Coturnix japonica: one gene and its partner. The protein of the gene in region 1 interacts with the protein of each later gene in a pairwise test. Links are inferred from orthologs where the notes say so. Each region holds a gene or a part of one and is shown on either strand. Other genes may lie near its edges.

Evidence for each region.
Region 2: the proteins of UBAC1 (region 1) and RNF216 interact in binary tests that used the Homo sapiens proteins (3 or more experiments, as listed by UniProt). The link is inferred for Coturnix japonica from reciprocal best matches to the Homo sapiens genes UBAC1 and RNF216.

Annotation. Positions count from the first base shown.
Region 1 is NC_029532.1:6,650,353-6,654,162, reverse strand, and holds part of UBAC1 (ubiquitin-associated domain-containing protein 1), read right to left. Parts: intron 3,757-3,810; coding exon 3,618-3,756; intron 1,434-3,617; coding exon 1,318-1,433; 3' UTR 1-1,317.
Region 2 is NC_029529.1:4,311,060-4,314,969, forward strand, and holds the start of RNF216 (E3 ubiquitin-protein ligase RNF216), read right to left. Parts: upstream 2,311-3,910; 5' UTR 2,264-2,310; intron 2,258-2,263; exon of another isoform or gene 2,080-2,257; intron 1-2,079. Other genes in the region: urotensin-2 receptor-like, read left to right, coding at 3,660-3,910.

The DNA of each region.
Region 1 (3,810 bases):
CATACACTTAGAAAGGAACTTGGCAGAGCTAGTCGGGATCTATTTGACAGACACCTTTCAAAAAGAAAAGGCTATGAAACACAAGCAGCAGCAGGGATTGTGACAGATGTCAGCTGTGTTTCACTACCTTGGAAACAAAAGCCTGCACGGTCCAATCACAAGAATCCAACTGAATATTCACCAGTGAGTTCTTTTCTTAAGAGCTCATGGCACCTGCCTGAAACCTCCAGTCAGCCTTCCAACAAAACTAGGAGTGACACAGCCTGACTTTCTTGATATTTCCAAAGAGAAAGAGTCAAGGATAACCATTTCTATCTCAAAGCAATTAGTTTCGAGCGTGCTTTTAAGTACGTTAAAAACAATATATAAAACCCAAAGTGTTTCTGCTTCTTTGCAGATCACCATTCAGGGAAAACCCATGCAAATGAGTTGCTATTTTGTAAACAGTTTGAAACAGTCAACAATACAAGCTCCCCTTTGCAAAACCGTGCACAGAAAGATGGAAAAAAACCTCACAACCCACCATGTGAAGATATCCCTCCTGCACTAAGATATGGCATAGGGTGACCTTATGAACTGCAGCCTGCTGGAGAATCCAAGTGGTGGTGTAAAGTCCTGCCGTGAAGGAGATACTGCATCTCTAACATAGCTGACAACCTCTGAGAAGTGTAACTACCATCGGACTGGAAGAACACTAACGCAGAAAATAAATAGGAAAAAGTAATGCTATTTATTAAATGAATTCCATCTATGAATTATTCTCTTTGAATTATAATGCAAGACGAACAAGCCTGGATAGAAATGTGCTCGCTCTCCCAGTATTTGGACTTTTAAAAAATAGTTCCTAAGAATCAATTTTAAAAAGCATTTCATAATTTGATATAGCCATAAATTAATACTGCATGGAGATGATTAATGTCCTATGCTAGTGGTCAGTGACCTTTTGTAAACACTAGCCAGGTGCTAGTAAAACTGGCTAGAAAACTACTGTCACGGGCCTTTTTTTAACAAGCAATATCATATTTCTTTCTGACGAGCAGATTCTTAATTGTTTTCACAAAACCTTTTCCTATTTTTTTGATATACTTTATTTTTAACCTAACACCTGAAAACATACACAAGTCTTCAAACCTCTTCCACTAACACTAAATTCACAAGGCAATTAACTTCAGCTGGCCATAACTACATAAGCTCTCGTGTGAGACCCCTACTCAGACAGCATCCCTCCCCCCCTCCCCAAACAATCCATGCACCCTCCCCATTGAGAAGGTGACACAAGGGACAGCAGGAAGTGGCACAGTGGTCTGGCATTCCCCTCTACGTGCGATTCAGCGTCTGGAAGATTCGAGAGATCTGTAGCATGACAGGCCCAGTTTCTGGATCGTTCATCCACTGAGTGCTGTTCAAGGGGTTTTCAAGCATATCTTCAAAGGCTGCCAAGAGAAGGAAATCGTTGTACATTATTGGTCTTCTAGCAGCATACGCTTCAGTGCTTGGGATGCGTCAACAACAGGAAGGTTAGAAATACTTACAGCTTATCCAAGGCAAGCAGCCCCTCAAAATGGTGAGAATCCATCACATGGTTACCATTTGTTGTCCTGCATTTTCAGACTGGGGTGCTACATGCTGTTACGCTTTCCTCACTGCTCAGCATTACATTTATCGCAGGAAGAGGCTGATCAAACACTTAGTCTGGATTACAGCCCACCTTACATAACCTCAGTGACATGGGTTTGAAGAGCTACCCACTTTGCAAAAGTCCACAGACAGAACTTTTCCATTATAGAACTTAATGTAATAATGTTCTTCAGACCGATGTACCCCAGGAGAAAAGGAGGTTGCTGCCTACATGCCAGAGATTGTGCCTCAGTCACTCCTTAGGGAGGGATATGGCTGCAGTAGCCTCCAGTGCTGTATTGAGAGGGCTGGGCAGGGTTTCTCTGTTTACACTGGCTACAGTAGCAGGTAACACACCACGTAACTGGGATCCAAACGTCCATCTCAGAATTGGGACATTTGGGCAGAAGAATTTGTTAAGTTTCCTTTCTATGGACAGCTGTTTTTACACTAAGTTAGTTTGGCTTTGTTCTCTTTTCTTTTTTACATGCTAGTTTCCCCTTTTCTCTTTATTTTGAGGGAACCAGACATTTAGCGCAAGAGCTAAGTCACAAATTTGGCTAAAGAATGATCCAGGCAATAATTTATAACCTCATGACACTGAGCCAGACTAGCAGACATTGGAGCAGTCGTTACGGAACAGGACAGAAAAAAGCAGTTGCATATCTGACCTATTCAGAAGTCACCAAAAGGTCAGTGTTAGAAGAACCCGGCAGTCCAGCAACAGGGTGCCAGCCTGAACCTTTCCAGGAGCATTAGTGTACAAAACTCTAAGTGACCTTAGTGGGAGCCATAAGCACCCAGGCCCTCTGAAGGGCTCATCATTAACACCTTGCACAAGGTCACACTGCATGCTTGCAGCAAAGCCCAGAATAACGTACAGATCTCACCTTTCACCACTTCAACTGTCTTCTTTTACATAGACTCAAGAGCTTAAAACTAAACATTTATCAACATTCCTTAGCTATCTAGTTAAATACAAACATTTAACGTTAAAATCTATGACATAAGCAATTTGCTTATGTATCATTTCAAATACATTCTCTAAGGTTCATATAAGTTTTACAAGCACATATAGTGACATTTCATTTTCTATTTATATTCTGAGCTGAAGAGTGGAACCGTCTTTAGAAATAAGGAGACCATTTGTTCAGAAATGAGAGTGGGAAGGTTCTGCTCTTGCATTATTTAAAGTCTTGCAAACACTCCTAATTACATTTAAAATAGCATCTTAAAAAGCTCTCCTGAAAAAGCCATGTATACACCCTTCAATTCAAAACACAATTTTGAATCAAGTTTGAAGCCAAAATCTAAATGCAAGATTTTATACATACAACACTGCTGTTGTCATTCTTCTGCATTGTCCTCCAGCACCAGAGAGGCCAACACATAAGAGATCTGCATTTCACCATTGGTTTTATCAGTTGAGTCCTTGCTGTGCTCACAGCAAATATGAACAAAAACACAGACTTTATCACAGAGTTGATACTCAAGAAGGGGAAAACATATTTTCACAAGTGTTATCTGAATTTTGATAGGCAAAGCCTCTGTTCTGACTTCTTGTTTGGTTACACTAATTACCTTCCATTCCAGCGATCAGAGCAAAACACACAGTAAGCTGTACAGCAGGAGACAGCCTTGTTTTATCTGTGAAGCCATCAGGGTTCTAAATAGACATTCCTGCTTTTTATTTTTCACAGCCAAAGGGAGCACCACAAAAGGTCTCCTAAAACCACAAAAGCATTGCAGCCAGCAGCTATTAACGCTCTGAGTTCAGCACGTGTGAATTAGTAGCCTAAGAAATTAGCACCATTTCTGGGCCATCCCAAGCTCTGTTCAGGTTACAGCTGAGTTGCAAAATGAAATAAGCTGCTGATCATCAGAAAAACGGTACAGAGCTGCACTCACTTCACAGTATGTGTTGTCATCATCCTGTCTCTATCCTATTTGCTAGGAACTGCAGATGGAATATATTTAGCTGGAACGCAACCAGGACTTACCTAGTAGAGTTTTAGGGTTGGTTAACCCTAACTGTACCACTGGGTTTTCTAAGATGGCTTGGAAGAGAGGGCTGTTTGTGTCAATTCCCTTATCTAAGTCCTCTGGAGAAGGCTTTCTGTCTCCCAGCAGCCATTCGCACTGAAAGAAAGCATCAAGCACAACAGATTTCATGATTGGCCACTTCATCCCCAG
Region 2 (3,910 bases), on another chromosome or scaffold:
CACCCCCTGCAACACAGGCAGGGAGCCACAGCAGAACAGTGTCAGTCAGCAGCATTTCCTACTGCTAAGCAATTCAGCTTTCCTGAGGATCATTACAAGTCTGAAATGACCACAAGCTCTTCAGCACCGACCCTGAGGAAACAACACCACTCTGAGCTGGTTTCAAACTAAACTTGAGGTTCTGTGACATGAAGGCAGAGAGGGCACGATGGCCTCCATCAGTGATACAAGGCTGCTATCTCCACCTCAGTGCTTCAGAGAGCAGAGCCCACCCCAGCTCCCAGGATACTCAAGGGCCCCTCCTCTCCCTGCCTGCCTCCAACACAGCGCAGGAACTGCCACAGCAGAACAGCAATGAACTTATTTCCTGGGCTGCTGCTGGTGTCCTAAATCAGCTGCATGCTTCAAGCTGTTGGCCATGCACTCACCCCAGCGGGCAGAGATGCTGCTAAGAGCAGTTGAAATCACTCAGGGCAGCTCAAAACACATCCACCCATCCACAAGGGCACACTGTGCACAGAGCTTCAGTGTGTGCACAGACTTTGGAGGCTGTCAGAGCCTCTCCTTTAGGAACAGGGGTCCTCTCCAGACCGAATCCACACGCATAAGTCAGGCTCCTGACACAAAGAATTAGTGGCGTAGCTCTGACTGTCCCATAAAGAATGTGGCTTCAGCAAGCACTGACACCACAGCTGAGCCTTCCTGAACACACTGCTCCAGCAAACCACTCACCGTGGCTCCCAAAAAACAAACCCAAAGGCACCTACTGCAAATGAATAAATGGGAGCCTCTTCCAGCAGCAATGAGCAACACCCAGAGGGTTCTGCTTCCCTCTTAGTGGTGCCTGTGCTGCTCAGGTGTTGCTAATTAGCCCCCAGTCACACTTCCTGCTTCTCCCCAGCTGTGCTGGAGTTGCACTCCACCTGTTTTTGCCACAGGACTTTTAAGCAATTTGTGACCAGCTTCAAAGCACGAGACACGACGCTGTGAGCAGAGCTGTCAGAGGCAGCGCTGGATCCACACTGCTGGCAGCAGCACCCGCTGCATTCCCAACAGACAAAGCAACGGCCTGACATGGAATCTGGAGTTCTGGGGCAGCTTCTGAGGCTGGGACAGACTGCCAGCACCTTGTTGTAAAGCAAAACATACCTTGTCGTCAGCAGAGCCCGCCCCAGCCACTGAGCTGGGAGCAGCAGCCCTAAAAAGGAGCGTGTGGGATGGCAGACAGGAAAGTGCTTGAGGAGGGGAAAGCGAAAGGCAGAGGGGAACTGTCATTGAAACTGAAACAGCACCGAGTGCTGCTGTAGGAAGTGGGGGAACCTCCTTCCAGCCCCAGGAGCCCAGCCCCAAGCTCCTGTCACGGTGATCACTAATTATCCACGCTACACAGACACCCAGCGCACTGAGACGCTCACAGCATCAACAGGACTGAGGAGGGTGCAGAGCTTCGTGCAGCGCAGGCCCTAGAAATGAGGATACCAGGTGAGAACGGTAAACGTGCACACAGGGCCCATGATACAGACTGCAGTGTGCTGATACAGCACGGGAACACAGCAAGAACCGCTCCATGCTCACACAGAGCCACGGCCTCACACAGCCCCTCACCCTGCTGTATGTAAGGCACCTTATGCACGGTGTAACCCAGCCCTGCTCTGCTGCACACCTCACATCCTGCTGCGACCAGGACCCTCCTGCAGCCGCCCCAACAGCCGGACACACGCAGCTATTGCTTCCCAGCAGCTCGGCACGCTTCGAACCAAACACAACACACTGCAGCAGTGCCACAAGTACAGCCGAACAGCAGCACCATTTCTCAATGCAAAGCACCACGAGTCCCAAAGCAGCGGCTGCACCACAGCACTTCACAGACGGGCTGAGCGGACACAGCGCTCTCAGCCGCCCCCAGCACCACACAGACGGACGGGAGGCACCGGGGAGCAGGGCCCGGGACAGGCCCAGCACACAGCGCCCAGCACGGCGGGGTGACGGGGAGCGGAGCCCGAAGCAGCCCCGAGGTGAGGCCGCTCTAACGGCTCCGCTCTAATCGCTGCCCCCCGCTCTGCCCGCAGCGCTACTCACCGGGACAACAACCTCCCGCCGGCCCCGCTCCATTGAGCCGCCGCTGCCCCGCTCCTTCCGGCCTGACAGAGCCACGTGACCGCCCCGCCCCGCACCATAGAGTGGAACGGCGGGAACTGGGGAAATGGGGCGAGAGGAGAGGGACAGAAGGGCGGCCAAGGAGGTCCCGTCACGGAGAACGTACCATAGAGTGCGGGGGGGGCGGTCCGCCACGAGCAATGCCACCTTCCGGGCAATGCGCGGTGACGGAGGGGGCGGGGCTAACAGAAAGGGGCGGGGCTAAAGGGAGGGGCGGGGCTAACACAAAGGGGGCGGGGCCATCACGAGCGCACGTGGTGCCCGGCGGAGCGAGCTCTATAGGCCGGCCGCACCATAGGGAGGGCTGTGATTATATGGGAGGGCTGTGGTCTATATATGGGACCCCCACCTCCAGCTGCCCCACACACTCACCGCCCTCCCAAGGGTCGCTCTCTCTGGGATTCTTCCCCTTCTTCCCCCATTTCTGAGCCTTTGCAGGGCATCTTCTCTCCCATCACCTCGTTCCAATTAGAACCCTGCCAGGATTTCCCCCCATCTTCATTTAGGGCCTTTGCAAGACTTTTTTTCCTCCTAATCTAGACCCTTTTTAGCCTCACTCCCCCTCCTTCCCTTCCCATTCCCAGCACTATCACAGCATTCCCCAGCACTCCCCAGCCCTCAGCACTGCCCCATTACCCCATTTCAGACTCCCAACTAATCCCCCCTCCTCAAACCAACACGCTCCTTATAACCCCCCTGTCCTGCACCTCTCTCCCTTACCCCATTGCTGTGCTGTTTGTGCCCAGAGGATGGAGCAGCAATGCTAATTTCCCTTTGATACCCAACGCCTTCTTGCAAGGAGTGCTGCCCCATAGGGAGCCCTTTTGCTCTGTGCAGTCCATAGCACAAAGTCAACCAGCCTGGGTGCATAGCTGGCAACACAGACCTGGACTGATGCAGAGGTTTCTGATGTGACTCCAGAGGATCCTGCTGCATTTTCCTGGCAGCGTCACTCATTTTGTCTCTGCTCGAAGCAGCTTTTTGCTCTCTGCCTTAACGCTGGAGTTGCAGGGAGGGAAGGTCTCATAGGGGTGGGTGCCAGCGCAAGGTTCCCATTGCCATCAGCTCTGGGGTGATGGTGTTTGCTCTTTTCTCCTTCCCATCCTCTGAGAAGGAGAAAACCCCAAGGAAAAGTTTCTGACATGGAGAAATCGGTGTTTTTTTCCCACCTCCCTCCCAGTGAGGAGCTGTGCCAGCATCCCAGTGGGTGGCAATGGGAGCAGCCGCCGTGTTCCATCCCACTGGAGGGCAGAGGGACAAATCCCACCTCCGTCCGTGCCTCGTCCCTCCTTCAGCTGCAGGAAGGCGGGTGCATGGAGGATGGCTTTTCCAGGCTGCGCAGGAAAGAGCCACACATTGGAGCTGAGCGCTACCACTGCTGCGGGTGCTGCAGCTGGGACAACACAACCAGGAGCTGCAGCTCAGGATTCCCTCCTCCAAGGCAGTGACCTCAGGGGTGGCTGCTGGTGAGGTCCTGTCCCAGCTGCGAGGGGGCAGTGAGGATGGAGCCTGGCGCGTGTACCCCAGAGCTGTGCTATCCAAAGAACGGCAGCACCCAACTCAACGCTACGTCTGATAGCACCAGTGACCTCCTGGCCACTTCCTTCCTGGGTTGCATCCTGGGCACCATGTGCGTGGTGGGCACGGCGGGGAACATCTACACACTGGTGGTCACCACCGTCTCCATGAGGCGCAGCGGCTCCATGTATGTTTACATCATCAACTTGGCCTTGGCTGACCTGCTCTACCTGTC